4 linked regions of the Alligator mississippiensis genome follow. The protein of the gene in region 1 interacts with the protein of each later gene in a pairwise test. Links are inferred from orthologs where the notes say so. Each region holds a gene or a part of one and is shown in the gene's direction. Other genes may lie near its edges.

Region 1 (7,844 bases):
CACAAGTGCCAATGATTTTAGGAACTTTGCATCCCAAAATTCCCATTTTCGTAATTATGAGGGAAACTGCTCTGGAGGAGAAAGCTCCATGCACTCAGTTCCTTTAGCCAGCCCTTGCACACCTTGGAAAACAACATCCAAGCCCTTCCTTGCTAATGTATCTGTAAATAACTACAAATCCCCATTGGACACGAGCTGTTGCTATCCTATGATACTCAAATGCTCTAAAACTACCATTCAAAAGGCCAGATTCTCCCTTAATGGCTCTGGAAAATAATGCCAGTTCTTTTACCATTTTGCTTTAGTCCCTATGAGGTGTCATAAAAGAACCTGCCATGGAGAGGGAGCTCTGCAAACAAAACTGTGGCAGCAAATTGATAACCTCATCAGCCTTAGTTTATGGAAGCAGAAGCAGTAGCTCGACAGAAGAGTGTAATTCAATTCTCCCTCAATCGAACTTGATGCCCAAGAATGTAATAACTTCATGAGGGGCCCTCTTTTTAGGGGGATCTTTGCCAACCACCCTTAAGGTCATCAGTAAATCCTGATACAGAGTATTGTTTGGCAAGCGTACGCCCGGTAAAAGGGCTAAATCATGGGGGATTACTTCTGACCCTGCTTTGTAGCTCACCACCCATTGCAGGAATGCACTAAATATCTCTCAGAGCAGGCAAAAGTCAAACAGCCCACGTGCATGCATTGGCCCGCATCTATTTTGACTTTAAACATAAAACTCAGAACGAAGAAAAAATAGCAAACCCTGACCCTAAAAGTTGGACCTTGCCATAAGAAGCCTGCTGCTATGAACCTTAATTATTCCTATGCTTTGATAAAGAAACATTTTAGATGGTGAAACAAGACTAGTAGGTTAAACTCATTTCTCATTTCCTCCTCAGTGTCACAACAAGCAGCTTAGATCTTTAAAACAAAGAGTTTTACTTTTCATTATTTATGCAGTTTGCTTTACATATTTATCGCAGTTGTAGTAATTAACAGCCAATGAGTCAACCTCACTTTTGTGACAGTTATTACCAAATGTATTTAAGTGCCACCCTGGGAAACATTAATAAAGACAATCTCTGCTCTGAAGAGCTTACAATTGAAGGTCCTGGCCCTACATGCTTAATTCTCAGCACATGAGTAACTCCTTTCAAGTCAACGCAACTACCTTGGCACTTAAACATATAAGTGTCTGCCACATCATGTCTTAAGGGCCAAGACCTGAAGATGTTTGAAATGAGTGGCTGGCCATGGCAATGAATGCTAGGCTGGGTCATACAGTTTCAGGCTGGAGCTATGAAACACAGATGAGACCAGATCCCCACAGCATAGTTTTGTTTTGATGCTCTCAGTCACTACCACCACGGGCTCATTGTTTAAGCAGTGGATACCGCAGGGGTCTTGTAACTACGGTTTCTAGAAAACTGACCTCTGGGGCCTAGCAAGAGTAGAGTCAACTGAATCACCCTCTGAAGTCACAGGTCAACAGTACTAAACTCTCTTAAGGCTTCTCATGCAACCACACACTCATCCAATGATGGTGTACTTTGAAACGAACATGCCACCTATACTAGCATAAAACATTATCTCTGTTCACCAGCAAAGCAGTTGTTGACCTCATGCTCCTGACGGTCCCAGGAGCCACAGGATGAGATAGGGAAACCTTTGACAAACTTTCCGTGCCAAGTTTTGTTAGCACCTTATCTGGATAAATATACCTTGTGTCTTGTGAGCTTGCCTCTACTTGTGCCACGTGCAGCAAGGAAAATGATCCCAGCCCTCCAAATCAATAGGTTGCTTTGGCAGCTACACCACCATAAGCACTGTTAGCATTTGCATAATAGCTGGCATCTGAGAATCAAAGAGATCAAAGAGTTAAACCTTCCCAAACCCCACTAAGATAGGTAAGTCCTGCTACTTACTTGCAATGCTTTCATGGCTGGCCCTGCTCTTGCCTATTTTGTTCCTGGACTTGTGGAGTTTGGATGCTTTTCAGGGGTCTTCCTGGCTCTCCACTTAAGACCTCGTGTATACTTAAAGGTTTTGCCAAATTTGCTGTTCCTGTGTGGTTAAAGCAGTACCATTTCTGGCCCCTCTTTCCCCCCCACAACATAGTAGTGAAGCCACAGTTTTCTTGCATACAGATGTTTATTGCAGTTCAGTGAAGGGAAATAAACCATGCTGGAATATGGTCTCCATATTCAGGATATTTACCCGTATGCCCATACCATATAATGGTATGGGCATACAGGTAAATATCACAGGCTTCACCAGCATAGGAAGGCTGATATATATATATATATATATATATATATATATATATATAGTGTAGATGAGTCCTGAGCTACAGCAACCTCAGTTCTGTGGCCTCGCTTCCACTTTGCTTCCCATGGCTCTGCCTGTAGAGTAATGGACTTTAGCCATACTCCCATCCACTGCTACAATGGGCTCTGAGTGGAAAACAGATGTCCTCAAAGGCATCCATACCCAATTTAAGGCCCATATGTGTACCCAAACAGCATAAAAGGACCCTAGCTAAGCAGAGAATTGTGACATGAAAGCTTAAGTGATTTACAGAAAGTCCCATGGCAACCCCTGGCAGCAGTGGGACCAAAATCTAGAAGTCCTAACCCCCTGTCAGAACCCAGGATACGAGCTCCTACCACCATAAGGGCTTACCATAAATTGATACACATTTGGTCCTGCTTCCACCTTCAGTAAATGAGTCAGAGAAATGGATGCCAGGGCAACCCAGCTTCCTTTGTGAGCACTATGCCTCGCCTTCCTTTTTTGCATGAGGATTTCTGGGGCCCTCAGTGTCCTGCTCACGTTGCCAGTGAAGCTGTACTCAATCAGCCTTTGACCTCGCAGTGGTATCAGCGAAACCAACCCCTCGCCCTGATTTCTGTCCCTTTTGGCTCAGCTGCACTCCCCTCATCTCGCACGTCTTGCATGTTGCCTTGTTCGAACCACCAAATGCTTCTCTGCTCTCAGTGCCATTCCCACGCCTTGACATTTGGGCTGGGATATTCCCGGGCCAGCCGCACAACGGCATGTGGAAATCACTAAGGATGACGCAATGTGTTGGATCTGGAGCTGCGTTTTATCAAGCTGTTAGCCACTGGATTACTACAAAGTATAGACATTTTTTATAATAGCTAAATACATTGAAAACAGATGTAGCATGTTCTGCGTCTGTTCCCTCTGGAGAGCTGCCACGATTATGTAATAGCTCAGCTGGGGTGGCAAGTCTCTTTCAGTGGGTGGTAAAGCATTTGCCTAGGGTGACTTTGGGGCCCTCTCTCACTTATTTCCCTGCCGCTTGTGGCAATTTTTCAATTGAAAGTGCTCAGAAGAGTCATTTTTTGGCACTGTGTTTTATGAATGCCTTTCCCCCGCCCTGCCTTACTCCATTAAACACGGATAATAAGCTCAACACATTGCAGTCAGGTGCAGCCAGCGTGCTCTGCCTCTGCTGTGCTCCACAGACTTGGAGCCCTGCCCGCTCTGCTCAGAATAATACCCGGCGCTTAGCCGCTTCAAAGTGCTCTTACAGACGTCAACTAATTAATCTGAACAACACCCCTCCGAGGGAGGTGAGTTAGTATTACCGGCTCTGCCAAGCAGATGGGAGAGCTGGGGCACAGCCCCGAAGGGACCTGGCCAAGGTCAAAGGCGCCCGTGTCAGAGGAGGGAGGGCCGGGTTTGCTGGGCTCGGCTCAGACCACTAAGCCGGCCACACCTCTGCCTTATGTAAGATCCCAGCGCTTTCCCACGGGAGTGTCCCGTGCCCTCCGCACGACAGCCCTGGCGCTGGATGCCCTGCTCCAGCCTCGTGGGGCAGCCCTGCAGCCTACCCTGGTTCTCCCCATCCAGCCAAAAACACCCGGGGGGGCGCTGGCTCTGGCTGCGCCCACAGCCTGGCTCTTCTTTCATGGGCCAGGACCCAGGCTGGGGTGGAGGGGAACTCGTCCCCAGATGGCAGAGCCCTGGGCACTGAAGGGGCAGCTGGGGACACTGGAGAGGCAGTGAGGGGGAAGCTGGGCGTGCTGCGGGGACACAGAGGGGGCAGTGGGGGGACGCTAAGGGGGAACTGGGGGTGCACTGAGTGAGTGCATGGAAGAGGCAGTTAGGGCACATGGGGGGCAATGAGGGACGCTGAGGAGGCATGGAGGGTGCACTGGGGACTCACTGAGAGGCACTTAGGGCACTGGGGGCACTAAGGATGCACTGGAAGCACACTTAGGGTGCACTGGGGGCTCACTGAGATGGCACTGGGCACTAAGGGTGCACTGGAGGCACACTGAGGGTGCACTGGGAACACTAAGTGTGGGGGGTTGCACCAGGGGCACTAAGAGTGCACTGGAGTTGCACTGGGTGCTCACTGAAGTGGCAGTGGGGGGCACTAGGGGTGTACTGGAAGCACACTGGGGTGCCCTGGGGACACTGAGACAGTGGGGCACTGAGGTGGCACTAAGCATGCACTGGGGTTGCACTGGGGGCTCACTGAGGTGGCAGCGGGGGCACTAAGGGTGCACTGGAAGCACGCGGAGGGTGCACTAGGAGCACTAAGTGTGGGGGGGCACGTAGGGGCGCACGGGCGGCAGCCGCGTGGGCACACCGAGGCTGCAGCAGGCAGGCGGGCGGGCGGGGCGGTGCCGGCCGCAGGGCGCTCCCCCGCACGTTCCGGCCGCAGCCGCCGGCGGCTCGGGCGGGCGGGCGGGGGGAGCTGAGCGGAGCAGAGCGGTGTCCGCCACGTGAGGCTCATGTGACGGCAACCCTCCCTCCCTCCTCCTCCTCCCCCCGCCCGCCGCCGCCGCCGCCAGACGTGCCCGGAGTCACAGGGTAGAACACGTCGCTCCATCCACCCACCCGCTCCCATTTAACCCAGCCTGCCGCCTCCCCCGGACTCCTCACTCGCTCGCTCAGTCGCTGCCGACCGCGGCGGAGCGGCATGCCCGGCCCGCGCTGAGTCGAGCCGCCCGCTGCACCGGCCCCAGCCACCGCCAGCCCCGGCCCCGCCGCGCCGCGCCGCGCCGCAGCACCAGCCCTCCTCGCCCGGCCATGGAGAGGATCCCCAGCGCCCAGCCCCCGCCCGTGTGCCTGGGCAAGCTGCCCGCCCTGGACAGCCCCGACATGCCCGGGTAAGCCCCGGCCCTGCGGATGCCCCCAGCCGGGCACGGGCTTGAACCTGACCCCGGGGCGGAGGGGGCTGCAGCAGGGACGGGGCTTGAACTTCGATTAAAATTAACGCCGCTTTGTTCTCCCCCTGTGCGCAGGCTGGACTTCGCCCACATGTACCAGGTCTACAAGCCCCGGCGAGGCTTGAAAAGGAGCGAGGACAGCAAGGTAAGAGGAGCCCGCCTCGCCCGCGCCATCCACTAGAGAGCTGGCGCTGGCCGCCCGGATTTGGGGCGGCCGGGGGTGCCCTTTTGCTAGCGCGCGCACAAGGGTGGGAGAGAAGCCCGGACAGCTTGCCTTGCCCTGCCTCCAGGTTTCTTGGAGGTGGGACGGTTGCGCTTGGCGTAACCCGCGTCTCCTGCAGCGGGGGAAGGAGGGCAACCGAGTTTTGCAGGAGTTGAGCGATGCTTCTGCAAGGGATGAAGCCAGTCGAGCTCCCTGGTGACATCGCCGGGAGGTCGCGTTTTAGTTTCTAGATCATTTCTGATCGCTGTGTCTCTCCATGGTGCTAGGGACTCATTTGGGATCTGGGCTGACTGACTTAGCCACCTTTCTCTCCCCGCTGTTGGTTTGCAGGAGACCTACAAGCTGCCCCACAGGCTGATAGAAAAGAAAAGGCGGGATAGGATTAACGAGTGCATCGCCCAACTGAAAGATCTCTTACCAGAACATCTCAAACTTACAGTAAGTGAAAATCTGGCTACTGGCCAAGCTCCTCTTCCTTTTTGGGGTGCGTGCGGGTCTCCTGGATTTCTGTGCAAGTAAACGTGCCATCTAGAGGCTTCCTTTGAGCACTGCAGCATAGGCTGGGAAAGGCTGAGATTTGGCTGGAGTTGCCACTTTGATCTTCCTTTAGCATTAGATTTCCTTGCAAAGGCAGTGAATTTCTATACCAATGCCTGTAATGCAGTAGGGAGGGAGAAAGATAAGACCTGAGCTGCTGCTATGGTAAAATCGGGCCTCTTGTAAAGGTCATTAATGCACGCTTGAATTTTAACATCGTTCGGCAAAGGTTTGGGCATTTCCTTTTGGATCTTGGAAATGCTTCATGCTGCTCTTTGCAAAGTAGGACCAGATGCCAGTTACTAGACGATCCCTAATTTATCCCACAGTCCGGTCCTTTTAGATTTTGTTTCAATGCTACCTACTGCCAAGTTTTAAATGATTTGCTACATTCACATAGTGGAGTAGATATTCAAGGTAGCAACCTCTCCTGCTGTAGCATTCGGGACTTCTGGTTTTCAAAATATGAGTGTTAAGGGGCTGGGGGTTTTTTAAGTATATTTTTATCGCAGAACTTTATTGGGGAAAGCTATTTTGGTTGCTACTTTGCAGGTTTCCCCTCTCCTGTCGCTGTTCAAAAGAACCCTTGATTGGAGTCCCTGGTGTTAAGGTCACGATACCGGCAGGAGTAGCAGAACAGATAAATAAGATACTTTCCTCCAAGCTATGTAGTTGGTCCCAAAATACTCATAAGACATAACTACAGCTTTCTCTGCAGCCAGCACCACCTTGTTTTTTTTTTTATGGCTTACATAAACTGTGGAGTCAGAGCCACTTATTATTCAGGATAAAAGATTTTGCAGAGTAAGGACACTGTTAGCTCTCTCCCATGGCAGTAACTCTCTTTCATTTCATCAGAACTGTACTTATGTGTCCTTTTGTTTCCAGACTTTAGGTCACTTGGAGAAGGCAGTGGTTCTTGAACTTACCTTGAAACACGTGAAAGCGCTGACCAATCTCATAGAGCAGCAGCAGCAGAAAATAATTGCATTACAGAGTGGTTTACAAGCTGGTGAGTATTCAAGTCATGCTTGTATCACGTGAGAGTCCTAGTGTGCAGAGCAAACTCGCTTTCAGCTCCTTTGAAATATGGGTGACTTACGAGACTAGGTTTTGGAGAAGGGACATGTAAGCACATTCCCCCACTCCTTTAGTTACTCCTGCACCCTTCTCCCTGCAGCATGTATGTGTGCCCACATGCAGAAAAGATGCCCTATTTGGTTCATTTATACTTGGCCATGATTTTTTTTTCATTTTTCAGTTCAACTGAATATTAAAATATTTCATTTGGAAGTACATTTTTACTGGGCGGCCTAATCCAAAGATACACTGGCCAGAATCTTTCCATTGATTTGATGAGCTTTTACATTTTTTATTTATTTTTTTTCTCAAACAGACGAAAGCATCTGTTTAACCCACACTTTTTTGGTCTCTCCAGTAATCAGTTTGCCTACCCTTCGCAGCTTGAGGGGGAACCAGTCTAAAGGGCTTAATGATGTTCTAAATCTGTTTCGTACCTCCTTCTTTTCCGGCATTTGGTTGCATCTGGTAGGATAAAATCAGCTTTTCTAAGAAGGCTGCTACTCTTTCCACAGCCACGGGGTGTGCAGTAGAGTTACACAGCCAGAGCTGGCGTCACTTGTCAAAGTTTAAGCCCAGTCCTCCCTGGGGTCTGGAACTGAGGGGGAAAGTTTGAACTCTTGCACTTTTTTTTTTTTCCGATGGCTGTGGAATAGGTGTTTTCCTGATGAGTCTTTTTTGCTGTTCTTCTCAAACTAGCATCTGATTGCCACATATAATGAGTTGAAAAGTGAAACTTGTATGTGAAGACTCATTCTTAGATGGATATGGTAAAAATGGGTATTCAGCTTGACCGTAGC
Region 2 (7,669 bases), on another chromosome or scaffold:
CCTTCTAATCAGGCCTCTCCCATCTGATGTTTTCTCCTTGTTCTCTTTTTACTCTTCAAAGTCTAGTCCAAGATAACGCTCATCACGCAAATACGTGTGCAATATCACATCTCTGCTTCCAGAGCTCAGAGATTACAACATTTTGGAGAAACTGTCCTGTGCCCCTAAATTCACACACAACAAATAAAGCAATTCACTATAAGTAAAAAAAGCAGCAATACTTTGTTAACAGTGAGAGCTGGGCCCGAGATAGGTCCATTTTCTTGGACATCGTTTACTGGCACAACTGCATGAGTTTATCTCCTCACTTCAAAGGAGCATGACAAGTCAATTTAATTTTTTTTTTAAATGGATAATCCATAAAAAAAAAGAGGGGAAATAAATTAATGGAATCAATTAAAACATTTTGATTTTGACCTTTTCCTAATTGGGCTTTTCCCCCCTACTATAAATTAGGTAGATCTTGTAACCAGACTGTCATTCTAGTTGACTGTCTTGTCAAAAGTGGAAAACCTTGTTTTGAAAATGTCAAAATGTGATGTTTGAACAATCCGGTCACTCTCCCACTCAGCTCCTGCCCTCTCTCACACTTTTTTTTTTTCCAAATCAGGATCAGTGTTGAAGAAGGCCCTTTACTGAAAAACCTTTTACGCTTTGAAGAACCAGCTTTCCCCCTCACAGAAACCATTTCCAAGCACACTGTTCTCAACTCCCCATAGTCCTGTTTCTACACCACTCTCTCAGTGCCAGCAATGCGTCTGCTTTTTTCTTTTTTCTGAAAATCCTATTAACCTGTTACAGGCCTATTGTTAGAAGCTGAGACTAGCACCTGCCCATCAGTAATCTTGAGTAACCTGATATCACACTGATCATTCAGTTTGCAATGATCACTGCCTGTATTTAGCTGGCAAACAATCATATGATACACTTCTGTTCATGAGAGTCAGCTTTTAGGCACAATTGCCCATTACCTCCAGCTGTGGGAAGTGCATTTCCTGTGAATTTAATGGATAGTTGTACAAAAATATTATGCGCTTCTATCTAGTTTTAATCATTTGGTGCTCACTCTCTCTAGCGCGCACACCAGAAGTTCGGGGCAAGTTCAAGGTGTAGGGTTTAATCCATGTCTGAGGTTTTTACATCTAGAGATCTAGTTGGGCTGTGAAGAATCGATCCTGTCTTGTGAGGTCAGGTACAACAGGCTGTGACCAGCTAATATGGGAACTAAAGGCCTCCGTTCATTAGGTTCAATAAAGGATTGTGTATGCATCCACCACGATCAAGGCTTGTCTATGCTCTTAGGGGAGACACCGTAAGCCCACAAAAAGGTTAAGGGCCTGTGATAAAGTCCAGATTGGGATCTGCAGCCATTTTCCAGGTTCTTCAAAGCTTGGGGAGATTTGATTTGGGTCCTTTTCTCCGCAAGAAAGATAAACTGTCACCATGTTATATCTTCAGGCCCATTCCATACCTCTGCTGCCATTCCCAGTTAGACCAGATTACAAAGGTCCTGATCCTTGGAACACATAAGTAATAAGCCATGCACATATTTGCAAGATCACATACTTTGACTGTAAACAATTGCCCTTAGCACCTACATTGGCCATAGAAAGGCCTGATCTGAAGTCTATGTTCAATGGTTTCCAGATCAGGCCAAATGTGTGTATGTAGTTCAAGAGGATATAGGAAGAAACACCCTGCTCAGCACAGGCTTCTCTTCAGAGTAGCTGCTCCACCAAGAAACCTACATCCCACGAACCGTGGAATCACTGTGCAAGGACGCTGAAATCTGCTGTAGACTCAGCTGGGCAGAACTTTGTAGCTTGGGCCTGTTTCTATACAACCCCACGTGGCTATGTCTTTTGCCACAGTGGATGGAGGGAGTGGAGGTCTCACTGCCCAGCCTGACTGCTGCTGGAGGTGGGAGCTAAGTGTCTCATGATCTATGGAAACTAGGACCCAGGTAGATGCACCCTGTGCAATTTTTCCCGTTCTCTGTCACAAGGTGATCCACTAATTTTTCTAGCTCTTTGGGAAACCTGCTGGGAATCAGCAGCTGAGCAGAGGGGAACAGATACTAAAAGAACCTAAAAGTGGTCACTAAAAGCTGCTGCCAGTTATTGTCCTGGAAGTCTTTGATCCAGCTGGAAGCTGCTTCCAAGGCCAAAGCCTGCACTGGATGAAATACAGACATTGGCCAACAAGAGTTTAGGGCTTTATCTGAAGACCGTTAATCAAAGGTAGTTTTTCTATCATTTTGGATGGGCTTTGGATTAGACTTATAGGCAGGGTCTCCAGGACTTTCTTTTCAATCAATCATATTGTAGAAGATGGGAGGTCAGGGTTTGAAGAAAGAGCCACTCAAGAGCATGAGCCTGCGCTTTTCTTGCTCATGGTAGAGCAGCATCTCCCTGCCTGGGCAGGCCCTCTACTTGGGAAGCCAAGGCAGCATAGCTGAATCTACTCCTTAACAGTCACTTTTCCAACTTATGCTCAGATCTTGCCCTTTCAAAGCAGAGGGATGCACTGCTGTGAGGTCCTACCACCCCTTCACCATGGGACCACCGCCAAAGTCATGGTGAACTCATTCTAACTGTAAACAGCTTACCTGCTACTCTTGAAAGACCTCAGTCACTTGGATAACTTTTACTCTTTTACCAAAGCAGCCGTGCAATACCATCCTGAGAATTCATGAGGCCTGGGGCAGCCTCCACTCGCCGCTGGAATAACTTTCTGAAGCTCCCTTTCTTCCAGACCCATGAAAGGTCAATTTGACTCTCAGACTAAGAAACAGTGGCCAAGTCCAGAGAATAAGGGTTAAGTCACGTAAGGGATCCATTAGTGCATAGGAGTGTCTAAGGTTCAAAATAAAACAGCCACATCCAACTACTACAACTTGGCTTACCTACCATCTAGGATTTTATACCGCCATAGCTCCCACCCACAAGCTACATCATTATAAACCACGTGTCCTCTCATGCAGACTTGTCCTAAGTGCATAACCAAGTATAAGCTGGTGTCATCCACCTGCTGAGGGAGCCAAGCAAGTCAAAATCTGCTTATCCTCATCCCTGACTTCAGGTTAGATTGCCTCATGTGTAGATGACAAAGGACTCAGTAATCTCCCCCCCCCCCCACTCATTTATGCATGATTTCTCCCCCAGGATAAAGGACTGCTTTGTAAAGCTGAGCAAACCTTGAATGGCTCTGAGAGCATCTGGGAAATCAAAGGAGCCTCAGGCTAGAGATTTTTCTCCTCTTGCTAAGCCTCAGTGCATCTCACCGGCAGACCTGTGTATCATTCTCCCCATAGTCACAGCTGGGAAATAGCAGCTGCAAGCAAATTCCTACATCCCTCCCTTCCCCATAGTACAAGCCATGGTGGAAGCCTCCTATTAAGCAGCCCACTGCAGCAAATGGGAGCAGATGATCCAACTTGCCCCCAGTCATGGAGTCTCTTGTAGAGCCTTCTGCTACTCATACCAAACCAGGGAACCTGGTGGCAAAGGTGCTGTAAAGGCTGGAAGCTGGATGAACTGCAGAATCAGGTCTAGCTCTGGAGGATCCGGAGACAGATTATAGCCATGCAGGTGGTATGTGTCCTGGCAAAGTCCTTCCCTGTGTGTTATGGGCTCATGTCTTGTCTCCAGCCACAGCCCATTTGTATCATAGAAAACAGGCATTTCAATTGGAGCTGTCAGCAGCTCTTGGAAAAGGGAGGGCACCAGCGCCAGACAAAGGCAGATGGCAGAGCATGTGTGAGAACCAAGGTGGCCATGCTGGCCTTGCATCCCCATTGCTTGCACTCTGCTCCCAGCCCAGTTGGAAACTCCAGCTGGGCAGTTCTTCTACAGCCACCTGCCCTGCTAAATAGCTTTGCCGGTGGGTTTCCCCCTCCATACCCGATATCTCCCCCACCACAGCCTAGCACACGGCAGCTCCAAACTCAGCCGTTCTGCATACCACCTTTCTCCAACCCCTTGCCCCTGCAGTAGGACAGTCTCCCCGCCTCAAAGCAGGAAAAACCTTGGCCTCTATGTCCAGCTTGCCAATTGCTCAGTGGTAACAAGTGTCAGGAGACAACCGGGACACAGATGCTCCGGACTTGAGCCAGGAAACAACAAGCAGAACCTGAGAACAAGGAGTCAGAAGCTCGGAGCTAGACAGAGAAACAAGGGTGCTGAAAGGGCTGCTGTTTATAAGCAGGTGCTGAAAGGGCTGCTCTTTATAGGCAGGAAGCTGCAGGTAACTAGGGCCAGATGGAGGTAGTCAGGCCAGGGGCAGCCAGACCCACTCAGGTACCCAGGGCCAGCTGGGACTAGCCAGCCTGCTGGATGCCCAGACTCCTGTAAGGGTATCTCAGGAAGCAGTAGGCCATGACAGCACGGAGGGCCCAATGCTCCACGGTGCTCAGCAGCTTCTGCGGGGCTCTGAGCTGCAGCAGTCAGAGGGTGCACAGCACCTTGTGAATGCTCAGCCCCGGCCAGGATCAGGCTCTAAAAGCACTTGTGCAGCCCCCAGATCCAGCTTTCTGGTGATCGGAGAGCGATGTTCTGTCCCTCTCTCACGTCAGCGCATTAACCTTGCCCATCTCGCCGCTTAACCCCGCTGCCTCTAAAAGCCACGGTTCCTCCCTGTGCTCTGTTGTTCCCACCCGGGTCTCCAGCAGCTGGGTCACTGGCTATTGTTTCTGTGCTTCTGATGGTGGGTAGATGGGCTTTGGTTCTGCAACCCAGCCCATGCATGGGCCCCAGCGCCATGACGGGTCGAACCTCATTTACATCAGGCAGCACCAATGACTAAGAGCCCAGGAACATTTGCATGGGCTGCCCAAGCTGCTGTGTGAGCACGTTCAGGGCTTGGTATGTGTATATATAGAGCAAGGAAGGCACACTGCCTAATCCCTTGTGGCTCAGCAGGTATTTCCAGCCCCTGGCTGATCGCACCAGGGAAGATTTACTGATATAGCGACTTGCTGGTGACCAAAAGGCATTTCCAGAGGGCAGCAGCACAGGAGACGGGAGATGTCGGTGATCAGCGCCCTGCCGTTCCTGAAGCCCGTTCACCTGATGTCTCCCCGCAGCTCCCCCGGACGCCAGCGCCGACACACGCTCCCGGCCAGCGAGTTCCGGTGCCTCAGCCCCGAGGATGCCATCAGCGTCTTCGAGATCGAGAGGGAAGGTAAGGACCGTTCTTCCTTGCCAGACCCCTTCCTAGGTTTAGAGCCCTTCCCTGCCCTCTAGTAAAAATGCTAGAGTAGGCATGGAAATGTCCCTCGGGGCTGGAGACTACACAATTAAATCGCACATGAGAAATAGCTGGGAATTACCACCGCAGCTTTCACAGAAACTGAAGCCCGAAGTGCTTTATAGAGTCAAACACAGGGAAAGAATGAGCCACCAGCCAGGCTGGAAATACCAGGGGAGTCTCTAGTGTCAGCTCCATTATAACCTGCTGTTCAGCTGTTCACAGAGTTGTCTGAAAATTCACTTTGCCCTTCCAAAAACAGTCGCTGCTCCCCGTTCTTCCAGCCCCCAAGCCCAGAGAGAATCACAGAGATGGTGGCGACTTTGGGGTCACTGGGAAGGAGGCGGCTAGAGGGTGGACTCCTGTTTCAGGGCCATGTCAGGGTCTCATTTTGTGCCTCGAGGAACGATGCCAGTGAGGGAACGCCTTGGCCCATCATGAAGCTATGTTTTTGGGACACATTAACCTGCTCCCCAGACAGGCTTCGTGCAGTCAGATGCCAATGCGCACCTCGCAATGGCTTGGAGAGCACTTGTTCCTTTTCTCCTACTATACTAGCAAGGACAGAGTCACCTGGACCAGAAACAGTCACCTACCCTCCCTGCTGCGTACCTCCTGCACATTGTAGCCATCTGGACCAGACTCAGTAGCATGAAATAATCTTCTTGGCCTCCGCACCCAGCAGGGCACAGACTAAAAGCTTCTTAGATCCAGGAACATTTGTAGTGAGGCCAGTTATTTTTAGGAGGATTCTCTGAGTCTTCAAAGCCCTGAAGATGCTGAGCCATATCCAGCGTTGCTCCCAGATCTACACCCTGGCTTAGTACTGGATTTAATTTTGCCCTTTGTTCCTTCTCATGACCATTTCTAAGGTGTGCCAGGAAACCTGCACAGCCAAAGACGAGTTATTCCCAAGAGGAATTCAGCTGAGACCCAGACAAAAATGACAGGTTACCCCAGCTGTTGCTAGAAGGCAAAGGTGTTCCTGAAGGTCACACGTTTTGCGAACACAACATACTTCACCTCTGCCCAGACTACCCGTCATCAAGCTTTGGCAGCTATTGCATTTCCAAACCAGCGGGGTTTGGTTTTCCCCACATCAATTAGCAGACACTGAAATGTGAAGCTACATAAACCTTCGTGCCTGGCTTGAAACCAAGCCCTAATGCTGCAGGAACGACTGAGAAAACTGCTGGCAGAACAGGTTCAAGTAGGGACTCATGATCCCGTTGAGGACTTTTCTGGGGTCTGAGCTGTGCGGATGAGAGAGCAGGCATCAGTTCAGAGGGTGGTCCTGCAGGGAAAACGGAGGGCTTTGCTGTCCCAACGGTGAGGCATCCAGTCTCTAAAAGGCAGGTAGCTGAGGAAGTGCACATGAGAAGAGGTAGCCCAAAGCCTTCTGGCTTCTTCTACTGAAAGCAGAAAAAGGCTCAGGTTGTTTAGAGCTGGATCCAAACTTCCCAGACTTAAGAGCATAGGACTAGGAAGCCACTGATCTCAATCCCCTGCATGCACAGGCAGCCTTTTGCCTAAGGATTCACCAGGACGGCCACTTCAGACTCGTATGCAGCTAAAGAGCACAAGGCCAGAAACACCCTACACCATGCTACATCTAAAAACAGGGTCATGAGGACACTGCCATTGCAGTGACAGACCTAGCGAGTTAACTCATGCTCAGAGGAACCTGGAAGAGGACCATGCCTCGGTGCAAAGGAAGACAATATTCCTCCTCGCAGTCTGTGCCAGTCTGACCTGGGGGCAAAATTCCTTCCTGACCTGCCATTTGGCAGTCAGTTTGGTCCTGAGTGGAGTGAGGCCCTCTAGCCCAATCCCTCTGGGCCTTCAAAAGTCCCTTCAATCCCAAGCTTCTGGTTCATGCCCGTTATGTAAATTAGCTTCAATTAGCCTGATGTTCACCCAGACTCAGAGGCGCTGTGGATTAGCTCTCTTTTCATGTGGCCTTTTTGTTCTTTTCCAGCATTTATATCTGTTTCGGGCGATTGCCCCCTGCACATGGATGAGATCCGACACTTCCTGAATTTGTGCCCAGAGCTGTCACTTGGCTGGTTTGAAGAAGGCCGACTGGTTGCTTTCATTATAGGATCTCTTTGGGACCAGGACAAACTCAGCCAGGTAAGAGCAGATCCCAATAGCTCCTCTCTCTTCCATGTGCTTTTCATGCTTGGTAACAAGAGGAGGACAACGATCGATCTCTGGAGACAGGAATCCAACAAATGTAGGTGTGACTGCTCCTCAGCCAGGGGACATTTGCAGTGGAGGGATGGTCACAGTGGTGTCAGTTCATCAAGCTCTGCAGCTTTCCTTGGAAAGCCAGTCAGTGACAGATCATGGGCCTCACTTTCAAAGTTAGAGACGTGAGTGAATTATATTCACCTAAGACATCCAAGAGGACGGTGCTGTG
Region 3 (5,273 bases), on another chromosome or scaffold:
CCAGGAGGGCTGAGGGTGGCCTGGTGGGCACCCAGGCGCTGCAGTGCCTGCCCCACCTCACCCAGTGATGGGCACCACAGCTCTGTGGGGGGGAAAAGGCATGAGATGAGCAGGGTCCCCATGCCCCTGCCGTGAGCACTAGGCCCAGCCATGGCAGGGGAAATAGGCAAAGCCATCCACCCTCCCCCATGCCTGCACTGACCAGGTGCATCAATCTGCTGCATGCTGATCTCCCACAGGGCCTGGAAGGCACTGGGGGCGGCACCTGCAGGCTGCGATGCCAGCTGAGGGGGGCAGAGATCAGAGAGCACATGGCTGCCTCCAGTAACTTCCCATAGCCCTGGCTATGTCCTGGTATGGGCAGCCACTGACCACCCCTGGCTCCCCACTCATAGAACCCACCCTGTGGTTCCTCTCCCATATCCTGGCCTGTGTGCCTGCTCTATGTGGCCAGACTTACCTGGAAGAGCCAGTGCAGGACAGGTGGGGGGCAGGCCAGCACATGGCGGTACAGCAGAGTGAGCAGCCCGGTGCGCACGAAGGTGACCTGCCCAGCTGGCGTGGCACTGCCCAGGCAGGAAGAGGTTAAGGGGGGGGGCAGGCCTTGTGCCATCCCCCACAATGCCCAGGGCCACCCCCCATACACTCCTGGTATCTCTGGGGGGCAGGGATCCAGCCCAGCAGGACTGGGACCCATGGTGGGGGGGGCAGCATTACTATATATAGTGCAGGCCCGAGGCGGTCCCAGCTGCTCACATACAAAGGGCACAGAGGGTGGGAGAAGAACACAGAGCCTTTGTGCCGAGACACGCACACGGCCACGTGGAAGGCGTGCCCTCACGCACATGCACATGCTGTCCCCGACCATGTGCCCCATGCACACATGCCTCTGTGCATGTCACCTTGCACACACAGACACATGGCCCTGTGCAACGTGTATGTGCAGCCGTGTTTCACCTGAGTCCAGACATGTATCTGCATGCAACGTCCAGGTGCAACAGGCAAATCCATGTGATGTGCATTCATGGGTGGCACATGCAATGCAAGCACCCCTAGACACACAGACTCATGTAACGCGTAGTCACACACGCCCAGATACAGACACATGCAACACACACGCTTCTGGGTGATGCACAAATCCATATGCCATGCACATAAGCCCAGGCGACATGCATGCAATACACACTCCCGCAGCCATCCACCCAGGGACGTGTGTTGCAGCAGGCAACACCCATACCACACACATGCTCAGACCTGCAGCCACATGCAACATACAGGCAACACAGACATGCATCCCCAGGAGTTCGGCCCATGTAGTCATGTGTGAAAACTACCTGCCCCCACAGACAAGCCTGTATATGCAACACATGAACACACATGAGTGTGCCATCTCCGACTTCCTGGGCTGAGTTGGTGTCTGATACTCCCCCTATCAAAGGGCCCATTGTCCTGGGGTTGGGGTGGGGGCAGGTGGGGGTATGGAGGAGGGGCCCTGCCCCATCAAGGGTCCCTTTGTTCTACCCTGGGATGGGACAAGAGGAGCTAAATACAGGCAGCTGATGGGGCAGTTACAGGCTCAGGCCGGTTCAACAGGGCAGCTTCCCTGCCATGGGCCAGTTACAGGCCAGGGGGTAGTTTCCAGGGGACAGAAGCGAAAAAGGGGGTACTCACTCGAGAAAAGCAGCCTCAAGAGGGCTCTGGGGTGCCAGGCCATGGACGCACACAGCTGGGAGGGACGCAGGGGTAGGCATGGCCTCCCCAAAGATGCCCTCCCCAGGGGGAAAGTCTGGCAGCTCACTGGTGACCAGTGCAAAGCGCTCCAGAAACAGCCTGCAGCAGGAACAAGCACAGGCATCTCAGTGCCAGCCTGGGGGCCCCCCTACTGCCCATGCCTGGTGGGGATCTAAGCCAGGCTGTCAGACAGCTTAGGAGGTAAACTGGGGGGGGGAGGGAGGGGAGCTGTGTGTGCTATGTCCCACCTGTGCTCCTCGGGCATTGGTGTGTCATCGGGTGAATCTTCAGAGCTGTCATCGGGCAGTGTTGGCAGCCCCTCGCCCACCAAGCACCAGGCCCTGGGCATGGCAGCACTGAGCATAGGGCGGTGCAAGGGCCAATGCTCCAAAGCCACTCCCATGGCCATGCCCGGCCCCGCACCGGGGCCCACCCCAGCGTACATTCCCCATAGCTCACCTTCTCTCCTGCAGCAGCGCTGCCAGACTGTTGACATCAGGATCTGGCTGCAGGCCCTGTTTGGTGGAGGCAGGTATCATTCTGGGGGCACTGTGCCCCCCCACCCCCACCCCTCAAGGCACTGCTGGACACTTCCTGGGGGCAGGAATGTGCCCAGCAATACGCATCAACCCCTTAGTGATGCCCTTGACCTGACACTCACCATGCCAGGCTCCGGGAGGATCCGTGCTGCTCCCCCCAGCAGCTGCGCCAGGGGCAACAGCTCTTCCTCATCGTCCTGCTTCTCCCCAGATCCAGCCGTATCCTGGCTGGGGGACACCATACCAGCCTGGCAAAGGAAGTCCAGCTGCACAGGGCTCCAGTCAGCTGGGAAGGCCTCATCAGGGCTGGTGTTGGTGCCCTGTGGCAGATGCGGCATCCTCTTGGACTTCCGGTGGGGGGCCCTGGAGCCGCGCCAGTGCCTGGAGGCTTCAGAGGGCAGGAGGACAGTCACTGGATGGCTCCTGCTCTCCTCAGCAGAGCCTGGTGCTGTGCCAGGGGGTAGGAGTAATGGGGGCAGAGAGGGCTGATGCCCGACGGTGGACCTGGAGGGGTCTGGTGTTACCTGCTCGGCATGGGGCAAGGCCCAGGCTGCTCCGGGCTCTACTGCCTCTAGGTCGCTGGCTCCTGCTATCCTGTGGGCCCAGCAGGGTCAGGTGGGCACAAGAAGGGAGCTGATCTACCCCAGGACTGTCCCTACTTGCCCCAGGGGCAAAGGGCTCACCTGGGCGGGCGGGGAGGCCGGGTCGGGGTCCCCGAGCAGAGCGTAGGGGCGGCCGACACGCAGGCGCTTGGTGAGGCGCAGCTGGCGGTAGCGCTGCAGGCTGTCCTGAAAGCGGCGGCTGAAGAGGCCCGTGCTGGGCGCCCGCAGCGAGGACAGTGGGATCTGGTACCAGCGCAGGCCCCCCAGGATGGGCAGCTCTGGGGTGGGCACTGGGGCCACCACCGCCTGCTGGGCCATGGTGCCAGGGGGAAGAACTGGGGCCTGGAGCGGGGAGAAACAGTGTCTTGGCACTTGATGCAGGGGGTGAAGCCTCCAGGATGGTTTTTTCCTGGGAGCTGGGGCCTGCGTGGGGAAGCAAGCACTCGCTGTGACCACACCACTGTCCCCCTGACGTCACACGATGCCCCCGTGACGTCACACGTGGCAAGGCAGTAGGGTTTAGTGGTCAGAGCAGGGGAGTGCTTGGAGCCGGGCGCCTGGGCGCCATCCCCAGCTGGGGGTCGTCGCCCCCCGACCTCTGCCCTTGTGGGCGGAGCCAAAGCCCCACCGCTCCCGCTGCCACGTGCTCCGCGCCTTCCGAATCCCAACCGCCGCCTGCCCAACGCTCCCCTCCGCGCGACGCCCAATCAGCAACCCCGCCAGCCGGACCAATCAGAGGCCGCACCTGCCCCGTCAAACGCACCCAATCAGAGCACGCAGGGCGGTCCTCTGGAAACCCACCCCCGGCCAGCAGGTGGCAGTCGCCGGCAGAAACCCAAGGTCACCCCCTCGCCGGGCTCACGGAGACCCCGCCCCCGTCTACCCCCAGCCTCTCTGGCCACGTGGCGCGGAGCGGCCAATTCCCGCCGGGCGCTTCAGCGGAAGTACCGCCCCGCTTCCGGCGCTGTCCCCGGAAGTAGCCGCAGTCGTCAAGCGGCCTGGTGTAGTCTCTGTTGGACGTTATGGCAGCCCGGTTTCTGCGCGCATACGGCGCCCTCCGCGCCCTGGGCGCCCGCCACTCGCCCGCGCTCGTCCTGCGCCTTGCTGCGCCCGCCCGCACCGCCGCCGGAGGTGAGGGGGGCCGGGGAGCGTGGAGGACACAGGCGTCCGGGGCAAGGGCGGGGGGCGGGCCTGGCTGACTGACGCGGTGGTTCCCTGCACGCCCTGTAGGCGTCCCCACCGACGAGGAGCAGGCAACCGGGCTGGAGCGGAAGGTGCTGGAGGCTGTCAAGAAGGGAACGGTGAGCACGGGGGGCGGGGACTGGGACCAGGCATGGGGGGCTCTGGGGGCCCTGGTAGGTGCTGATGCCCTCGCCTTCCTCTCTTCAGGACCCGTACAGCATGTTCCCACCCAAGAGCCAGGGGGGGACCCGGGAGCACCCCACCCTGGTGCCATCTGTCAATGAAAAGCGGATTGTCGGCTGCATCTGTGAGTGTCCGGGCAGGTGTAGTGGGGACGTGCTAGGGGAAGAGCCTGGGGTGGAGGTGAAAACAAGGGCTCTGCTGGAGCTGGGGGTTAGGGGGCAGAAGTAGCCCTTTGTCCTGCTCTGTCTCACCCCTAGCAGCTGAGGGTGGGAGGGGAAATGTTCTGGCTGTGACCCTGATCTCACTCTCTCCTGGCAGGTGAAGAGGACAACAGTGCCATCATCTGGTTCTGGCTGCACAAAGGTGAGCCACAGCGCTGCCCATCCTGTGGGGCCTACTACAAGCTGGTGCCTCATGAGGTGCCCCATTGAGCTCCTTGCCCTGCCCTGACCTGCTCTACTCTATTTGCCCCTATGTTTGATTCTGGGAGAACAATAAAGTTGTGACTGTCTCCTATTTTGCACTGTATTCTTCATTGCCTGGGGCCAAAGGATGAAGGTGTATCTGCCTTCTCTAGAGTCGTGCCTCTACGCTCGTTGCACCTCAGGAGAGCCTCAGCCTGGGGCAGGGACCCTGGATTTGTGTTATGTTGGGGGAGCGGTGCAAAGGACTGGCCCCATGTGGTGTGGGGGTGCTGGGAGTAGTAGCAGCCTCGGATGAGCCAGCAGTCCCAGCCCAGCGTGGCACGGGTTACTGCTCTGGGAAGGGGAACAAGGTCCCAGGTATGATGGGGAGGGAGAGCTTGGCTTCTACCCAAGGCCTGTGCATGTTGCCTGGGGGGTGAGTTCTTGTTATGTAGGGGGGAGGAGATGCCCTCCAGATGCATGGTAGGGAGAGCTCAACCTGCCTTCAAACTTTGGGGATAGCACGAGTGGCACTGCTTGTATTAACCTCCAGAGGGCAGCAAAGACTGGTGGGAAGGGAGGGGGGTGCCAGCCCTGCATTAACCACTTGCATGCCAGCCCTGCATTAACCA
Region 4 (7,831 bases), on another chromosome or scaffold:
CACCCCTGTCTGGGTCATGGGGCCAGGAGCTACTCCAGGGCTTGGGGAGGCTGTGACTCTGGAGCCGAAGTCCCACCTCAGTTACTGTATTTTCCTGTGTAAACTGCTCCCTAGCTAGAAAGAGACCTACAGAGACAAATGGACAGCAAAGGTGTGGGGTGGCTCCGTCGTCCCCCCAAGGCTTTACTGGGGGTCTGCTGGGTTGGGGGGAGCCTGGGGGGGCTGTGGGGGGCTTGGGTCCTGGGTCAAGGCCTCGGTGTACCAGGTGGGCAGGAAGTTGTAGTCGGAGTCACGGTGCCGGGTCCAGGACACATGACAACCAGGCTCCCATGCAAACAGGGTCACCAGCCTGGCAGGGGGGCAGAGAGGGTGGGTCAGAGGAGCCTAGATGCCTGGGTTCCCCGGGGGGGGCTGGGGGACCCATCCCTGGGAGATGGATGAGGGTTGGGGGTGTTGAGAGCAGGGGCTGGGAACCCAGGTGCCTGGTTCCTTCTACTGCAGCATACGGGTAGAGTTTGGGGATGGGGTCCCTGGACACCTGGGTTCTTCCAGCAGGGCATGGGGTAGGGATGGGTTCCCCTGAGATCAGGCCCCCCACCCCCAGGGAGGGCGTAGGAATGGAGTTCAGGGGAGAAGTGGTTCCAACACTCCTGGGTCCCATGTATGCTCACCGGGGGTCATCCTGGGTCACAACGTGAGAAAGGAAGTCCAGAAAGGCCAAGGCGAAGTTCATGCAGGCAGCCGGCTGCCAGGCCCCGGGGTCATCCTGCAGGGGGTACGGGGGGGGGGGGGGGGGGGGGTCAGGATCAAGGGTCAGTGCAGGTAGCGGGTAGGGGGCAGGGACTCACCCGCACAAGCTGGAACATGGCAGCTGTCTCGTAGGTCTCCAGTGCAGCCACGGAGCCGTCGGGCTCTCGCAGCCCGGTCACTACACGTGGCACCCCAGGTAGGAATGACTGCGCCCACCACTTCAGCAGCTTGCGCCTGTGGATGGGGGGGGGGGCTGTAGAACCCAGGTGTCCAAGCTCCCAGCCCCCACTGCCCCAGAACTAGAGAGAACTGAGGTGTCCAGGTTGTCTCCCCACCCCCACCAGGAGCGGAGGAAGAACACAGGCATCCAGGATCTTTCACCCCAACCCCCAGTATCTGCCTGAGGTGGAGAGGAAACCCAGGTGTCTGGGTGTCTCATCCCCACAGCCCTCCAGGTGTACTCCGGAAGTGGGAGGGTCAGGGCTCCATGCAGTGTGGCATGGGGCAGGGCCTCACCAGAAGACATGAACCTGCACAGGGTCATAGGTAGAGTCAGGAGTCAAGAGCTGGGGTCCACTAGAAAGCACTAGCTGAGTGAGGGATCAGGGCGTGGGGTCTCACCAGGACACGCAGGGCTAGGGCAGAGACTAGGGAGTGGAGTCAAGTGTTAGGTCTCTCCAGAAGATAGGGGGCTGGGTGTGATTAGGGTCTCACGGGAAGGCATGGCACTGGGTGGGGGGGTAAGAGAGTGAGGAATGCTGGACAGGGTCAAGGGGCAGAGGCAGGTCAGGAGGCAGGGATGAATTGGAGGGCATGGGGTAGTGGTAGAGTCAGGGGTCACACTTCACTGGAAAGCTCAATGCTGGGCAGAGGGTGGGGCTGGGCTCGGCTCTCTCCAGAAGGCAGACCCTGGGAAAGGTCTGGGGTCATGGGTGGAGCCAGAAAATGAAGAAAGTACAATGCTGGGTGGGGTCAGGGGCTGGAGCTAGGGTCAAGCTTCCCCAGAAAAAGGGGGGGGGGTCAAGAAGGAAGGGTCAGAGGCTCACCAGAAGATGTGGCACTGAGTAAGGTCAGGAGTGGAGTCAGGGGTCAGATATTACCAGGGCTGGGATGGGCCCTGGATAAGGTCAAGGGCTCACCAGATGATGTGCTGCTGGATGGGGCCAGGGGTCAGACCTCAGAGAAAGGAGCGGCGCTGGCTGGGATCAGGGATCAGGGACTCACCGGAAGGCACGGTGCTGGGCAGAGACGGTGGGGGTGGCCGTGGTCTTGAGCTCGACGTAGCGGGCAGGGTCAGGGGCAGGGCCAGGGGCGGGGTCAGCGCAGTCCACCTCGGCGGCGAAGAGCAGCGAGTGGGGGCCCAGGCGGGCGCGCAGCACCGTGCAGTAGGCAGCGTTGGTGTTCACCACCCCCCCAGGTGCTGCACCGCCCCCCGCCCGCTCTGCTGGCACAGGGGGGGAGGGAGGGTCAGCCAGGACATCTGGGTTGTCTTGTGGGGGAGCAGGAGGCTGGAAACCCAGATACCTGGGGTCGCTCCAGCGCTGGGGCTTGAAGGGTTCTTTGGGGGGAAAATGGGGGCTGGGGGGCCCAGACTCCTGAGTTCTTGGTTGGGAGGAGGAGGAGGCTGGGAGCCCGGACACCTGGGGTCTCTCCAGCACTGGGGCTGGGAGGCTGGGTTTACTGGGGGGAAAATGGGGGCTGAGGCCCCAGATGCCTGGGTTCTTGGGGGGTGAGGGGGGCTGGGGGTGAAAGCTGGGGGACTAGAAGCCTGGACACCTGGGTTGTCTTCTATGCTGGGGGGGGTGAGAACAGGAGAGCCTAGGAGCCCGGACGCCCAGGTTCTTTCCTGAGGCACAAAAGGAGAACGGGGTCTGGTAGGTTAAAAGAGCATTGGTCTGGTGCCCGGGGCCTTTCCCAGCTGTGAGTGGCCTGTGGGGTGGAGCAGGGGGGGGGGGGGGGGAGCAGGGAGCCCAGACACCTGGGTACTCACCAGCACACATGTACTGCTCGAACTTGTAGCCCATGTAGATGAGGCGCCGCAGGTCCTCGGACCGGGCCAGACGCTGGGCACGGGCGGCCACCGTCTCCACCTCGCTAACATAGATGGTGCCGTGGAAGCGGGTGGCAGCCAGAAGCCAGCCCTCACGCCGCTCGTACGGCGTTGTCACCACTTTGGTGAGGTGCCCACGCCATGTCACCACGTCCGCCGCCACCGGGCGCCTACCAGGGGGAGGGGAGGAGCGTCAGTAGGGACCAGGGTGAACAGCCCTGGGCTCAGGCGCTGAGTGCTCTGATTTCATGCCATCCCCCCAGTGTCTGAGGGGGCACCGCTGACCCTCACACATGCTCAGCAGTTGCCAGCTGGAGTGGAAAAGGAATGCTCCCATCAGTAGGGACCAGAGTAAACAGCCGTGGATCACAATGGAGGCTCCAGGGCTGCAGGTCCTGCCTTCACAGCACCCAAGTGCCTGTGGGGACATCACTAACCCCCATGTGTGCTCACCTGGTGCCTGCTGGGGAGGGAAAGGTGGGCAGAGCCATCAGTAGGGACCAGGATGAACAGCCTCAGGTGGGACTGAAGGCTCAGAGGTAGCAGACTCCACCTTCACTGTACCCCCTAGTGGCTGGGGGGCAATACCAACCACATAGGTGGTGCCTGCCTGGACTGGGAGGGGCAGAGCCATCAGTAGGTCCCAGAGTGAACAGCAGTTTAGAAAAGTCCTTCCCAGGCCCGCAGCACCCCCAGGGCTGTAGAAGACCCTAATCACCCCCACCCCCTAGGGCTGTGGAGGAACCCATTCATCCACCACCTGGCACTCCCAAGGCTCATGGAGGACCCCATCCACCCACCCCCCACTCCCTGGCACCCCCTAGGGCCCTGGTCCCCATTCATCCACCCTCCAGGCCGTGGCAGACTCCATCGACACGCAGGACCCCAGCTGACCCTTGGCCGGGGCGGTGGCCAGGCAGGCGGCACCGGTTGTGCAGGACCCAGCGCAGCAGGTGGTCGAGGCCCTCGCGGACGTCCTCATCGCGGCGCACGTAGCGGTCCTGGTAGCCGTCCAGCAGGTCGAAGGGGGGGTCGGGGCGGTGGTCGGGGGGCGGGGCGAAGTAGCGCAGTTGCCGGGCGTCGCCGTGGTAGCGGCGCTGCTCGTCCAGGGAGAAGTGTCCGACCTCAGCCGGGCGCCCATAGAAGGGGAAGGGCCCGGCATAGCACCCTGGGGACACGGGCAGGGTGCGGGGGGGCGCGCTCGGGGCGCGCTGTGGGGGCGGGGCCTCAGGGTCATCCTCTCGGGGGCGCTTGCGGGGGTGGGCGGCGGTTGCCATGGAGACCTGGGGACGTGGGGGGGAGGGGTGAAGGGACCACCACTGCCTCCCACCATTGACACCCCAAGATTCCCTTAGCCCAGGTGGGCCCCCAGGACCTACCCTGCCTCAGTGACGTCCTGAGGCCCTTCCCACTTAACCCTTGACCCCAGGAAGGAAATCCCCACATCTCCTCCCAAAGGGACCCGCGTCGAGCCCACCTCCCGACCGCAGAGCATTCTGGGATGGACAGCCTACGCGGCACCCCCGAGGGCCCCTATGCCCGAAGGCCCCGCCCCTTTCTCCTCCCCCTCCCCATTGCACTCCCGGGCTCCACCCAAGAGCTTCACCCTAGGCCCCGCCCCCACCCTTGAGGCCCCGCCCCTGGGCAGCCTTTAGGCCTCCAAAGGGAGGCCCCGCCGGGGGCTGTGACTTTTGCCCTTTGCACTCCCAGGGTCAGCCCCCCGCCGTCTGGCGACCTTTGACCCTTCACCGCCGCCGGCGACTCCCGTGTCCCTCTCAGGCCGCCGCGGTGGCGCGAGTTCCGTGTGGCGTCATCACAGAGCGACGGGGAAACCCCGCCCCCTGCTCCTGGGCGTGGCGGTGACGTCAAAGGCCCCGCAGGCGGCGGGCCCTGGGACTGGCTGCTACGCGCAAGAGCAGGCACCCCGCTCTCAAAAAAGATGGCTGACAAAGGCAGGGCGCTTGCCCTCATCCAAGATGGCCTCATCCGGCTGGTGAGCTCCAGCCCTGCCCACAAAAAAGATGGCGGAGGGTAGCTTTGCGCCGCACATCCCCAACCTTTGACCCGGCAGCGCGCCCACGTGACAACTCCTTGCCTGCTCATTTAGTCTCCCCCAGCACGCCCATGTCATTTTTGAGCGTAGTTCGGGGGTTGGGTCCTAACGTCACAACTCATTTCCGGAAAAGAGGAAGGTGCTTGAAGCCTCTTCCGCGTGAGCTGACGTCGTCCTCCGGCGACCCAGCCTGGCTGGGAGTCCTGGGGTCGGAGAGGGGGCGGCGTGACGTCATCTCCCGGGGACCGGGGGCCATGGAGCGGCGCCGCCGTCGCCTCCTTGCCGACGCCTTCGGGGCCCACAAGCGGCGGCGGCGGCGGCAAGAGCCCGAGCCCGGTGCGCCTGGGTCCCCGGGGCAGGCCCAGGAAGCCTGGGCTCCTTGGTGGGGGGCAGGGCACGATGCCGGGGGTGCCAGGGGCGCAGCATTGCCAGCCCCACCCTGCCAAAACACCATGAGACGAACTCATAAACAATCAAGAGACTGGCACCTAGATCGCAGATGCTATTTTTGAAGTGTGTGTGTGTGTGGGGGGGGGGGGGTTGTGAAGGCTTGGGGGGCTGTGCGTGTGTGCAGGGTTTGGACCCGGGGAAGGGGGACCCCACACACCCTGGCAAGATGCAGGTACTGCGGGTCAGGAGTGAGGGGCAGCAGCAGGGCTGGGGGTGGGAGTGAGGGGCAGATGCATGGAGACACTGACAGATGCACAGATGGCTCTGAGCTGGTAAGTGGAGGGAAAGGGGGGGTGCAAAAGAGATCTCTGTGGTGAGGGAGGCACTGGGGCAGGGGTGAATGGGGCACTAGGGCCTCCCCTCCACAGCGCCGCACACCCTGAGGGGAGGCATGGCGGGGCATGTACCTGCAGTGGGCAGCTCACCTCTGTTTTGCAGGGGCATGGGCTGCCCATGCCTCCCCCAGGGGTGCATGCTCCTGCAGGGGACCACCCCCCAGTGCCTCTGGATGACCTGCCTTGGCCCGGGGCCCCATTCACCCCCACCCCTGCTCCTGCCCCACCGCCTCCCTCACTGCGGGGGCCTCAGTCTGCCCCACACCTCACCCGTTCCCTCTCCCCTGCCCATTCCCTCCACTTACCAGCTGGGGAAAATCTCAAGATCTGAGAGTTGGATCAGGAAATCAAATGTCAGAGTCATTTTGACTTCGAAATCCTGAATTTTGTGATGGCTTTGTGACAGTTGGCATTAGTGAAGATACTTGGGTCCCCTCGGGGAGGCAGGATGCCTGGATCCCTGGAGGGTGGTGGGGCAGGATGCCTGGGTCCCTGGGGTGGGGGTGGGGAGGACTGGAAGTCTGGGCTTCTTGGTGGGGGTTGGGGGGCAGGACACTTGGGTTCTTTGGGGGGTGGCTGCCTGGGTCCTCTGACCAGTGAACAGATCCAGCTGGGTGAGACCAGGAGGGGGCTGGGAACTGGGTTCCCTGGGGGAGAAGTGGGGGGTGAAGGGGGGCTGCAAGCACCTGGACATCTGGGTCTCCGCAGCAGGGTCTGACCCAGTGCCCCTGTTTCCCAGAGGGCCGTGAGGCAGTGGAGGGGGCGCTGCACTCCTTGGCTGCGCTCTTCCCCCGGGGGCTGTTCGATGACGCGCTGCCCCCCCTTGTGCTGCGCCACCAGCTCTACAGCCTGGTGCCTGCTCGCACAGCTGTGGACCAGCACCTGGTGAGCCCCCGGATCGGGCCCCTGCCCCCCACTAATATTAGGGCCCCTCTGACTCTCCCCTTCCCCCCAGAACAGCATGAAGGAGGAGGGCCTGGTCCGCCTCTTCCAGCTCGGCTTTGACACTGATGCCTTCGGGGTAGTCTTCACTGAGGACTACAAGGCCAAGGTTGGGCTGGGCTGGGCTGTGGTTGACTGTAGGGTGGAGGAGGGCTGGGTGTAACAGGGCAGGAGCTATGGCTGGCTCTTGGGTAATGGGTCCTGGTCCCATCAGGTGGTGGAGGCGGTGGCGGGAAAGGAGTCAGAGGCGCTGGTGCGACGCTTCCTGGACTCGGTGCTCACACCCTGTGCTGACATTAGTTATGACATGGTGAGGATGATGCAGGACTTCGGTTTCCGGGACGCCGACATCACGTGAGTCTGTGACCTGTTACACCCAGCCCTGTTCTATCCCAGAGCCAGCTGCAGCTCCTGTCTCCATTACACCCAGTCTGATGCCCCCCAGAGTCAGCTGCAGCTACTGTTCCTGTTACACCCAGCCCAACACCTGCCCTGGAGCCAGCTGCAGCTTCTGTCCCCATTACACCCGGCCCTACCCACCCAGAGCCAGCTGCAGCTCCTCCATGCCTCCCCAGGCAGTTGGTGGGCGCTGGAGTGCTGACGGTGCGAGACGCCGGGAGCTGGTGGCTGGCCGTGCCGGGTGCTGGACGCTTCATGAAGGCCTTCCTGCGAGGTGAGTGCTCCCCTGATCCACTCCTTCCCCTCCGAGGGCTGGGCTCCCCTGACCTGCCCCCTTCCTCCTGTAGGGCGCAAGGCCGTGCTGGCCCTGATCCAGAAGGCTCGGTACCGCGAGGTGCTGCTGGCGGAGCTGCAGACCCGGCGCCCGCCCCGTGCTGTCCGCCTGGGGCTGCCCTACCACATCCACGACCTCATCGGGGCCCAGCTGGTCCGTTGGTGAGGGACCCAGGTGTCTGGGCTCCTATGTCACCCCTCCAATCCAGTCCCATGTTGGGGACGGGACACGGGCATCTGGGATTCCAGGGCAAGGGGACCCAGGCTCCCACATCATGTCCCTAATCCATTCTCATGGTTGAGGGAGAACCCAGGCACTGGGGACTGCAAAGGATGAGACCCCAGGCAGGCATCCGGCCTTCCAAATCATTCCCCACTCCAATTTCACCTGGAAGGGACCTGGATGAACGGGCTCCTGCCTGCCCGCCCATGCCAGGCTCATGGGAGGGAGGGGACCCAGGCACCCAAGATGTGGTAGGGGGGATCCAGCCCTTCCGTCCCGCCCCCCTCTTTTGCCTA

What was found.
Region 2: the proteins of BHLHE40 (region 1) and AANAT interact in binary tests that used the Homo sapiens proteins (3 or more experiments, as listed by UniProt). The two-hybrid records come from large-scale screens. The link is inferred for Alligator mississippiensis from reciprocal best matches to the Homo sapiens genes BHLHE40 and AANAT.
Region 3: the proteins of BHLHE40 (region 1) and cytochrome c oxidase subunit 5B, mitochondrial interact in binary tests that used the Homo sapiens proteins (3 or more experiments, as listed by UniProt). The two-hybrid records come from large-scale screens. The link is inferred for Alligator mississippiensis from reciprocal best matches to the Homo sapiens genes BHLHE40 and COX5B.
Region 4: the proteins of BHLHE40 (region 1) and STK19 interact in a two-hybrid assay, tested with the Homo sapiens proteins (2 studies listed by BioGRID). The two-hybrid records come from large-scale screens. The link is inferred for Alligator mississippiensis from reciprocal best matches to the Homo sapiens genes BHLHE40 and WHR1.

The regions. Positions count from the first base shown.
Region 1 is NC_081835.1:11,999,779-12,007,622, forward strand, and holds the start of BHLHE40 (class E basic helix-loop-helix protein 40), read left to right. Parts: upstream 1-4,842; 5' UTR 4,843-5,064; coding exon 5,065-5,144; intron 5,145-5,279; coding exon 5,280-5,349; intron 5,350-5,757; coding exon 5,758-5,865; intron 5,866-6,852; coding exon 6,853-6,976; intron 6,977-7,844. UniProt on the Homo sapiens protein: Transcriptional repressor involved in the regulation of the circadian rhythm by negatively regulating the activity of the clock genes and clock-controlled genes.
Region 2 is NC_081831.1:13,975,763-13,983,431, forward strand, and holds the start of AANAT (serotonin N-acetyltransferase), read left to right. Parts: upstream 1-4,667; 5' UTR 4,668-5,024; coding exon 5,025-5,181; intron 5,182-7,225; coding exon 7,226-7,380; intron 7,381-7,669. UniProt on the Homo sapiens protein: Controls the night/day rhythm of melatonin production in the pineal gland. Catalyzes the N-acetylation of serotonin into N-acetylserotonin, the penultimate step in the synthesis of melatonin.
Region 3 is NC_081830.1:10,720,500-10,725,772, reverse strand, and holds cytochrome c oxidase subunit 5B, mitochondrial, read left to right. Parts: upstream 1-3,833; 5' UTR 3,834-3,894; coding exon 3,895-4,003; intron 4,004-4,102; coding exon 4,103-4,173; intron 4,174-4,261; coding exon 4,262-4,361; intron 4,362-4,555; coding exon 4,556-4,668; 3' UTR 4,669-4,753; downstream 4,754-5,273. Other genes in the region: protein FAM178B, read right to left, coding at 1-82, 203-284, 461-566, 1,672-1,830, 1,980-2,072, 2,191-2,246, 2,393-2,658, 2,795-2,864 and 1 more. UniProt on the Homo sapiens protein: Component of the cytochrome c oxidase, the last enzyme in the mitochondrial electron transport chain which drives oxidative phosphorylation.
Region 4 is NC_081834.1:62,525,124-62,532,954, reverse strand, and holds the start of STK19 (inactive serine/threonine-protein kinase 19), read left to right. Parts: upstream 1-4,829; 5' UTR 4,830-4,924; coding exon 4,925-5,189; intron 5,190-6,377; coding exon 6,378-6,523; intron 6,524-6,593; coding exon 6,594-6,689; intron 6,690-6,794; coding exon 6,795-6,934; intron 6,935-7,155; coding exon 7,156-7,253; intron 7,254-7,326; coding exon 7,327-7,474; coding exon of another isoform or gene 7,475-7,478; exon of another isoform or gene 7,479-7,487; intron 7,488-7,831. Other genes in the region: DXO (decapping and exoribonuclease protein), read right to left, coding at 184-349, 672-766, 849-984, 1,975-2,194, 2,741-2,970, 3,695-4,077. UniProt on the Homo sapiens protein: DNA-binding protein which is required for efficient transcription-coupled nucleotide excision repair (TC-NER). Acts as part of a TC-NER complex which assembles and interacts with RNA polymerase II (RNAPII) when it stalls at DNA lesions.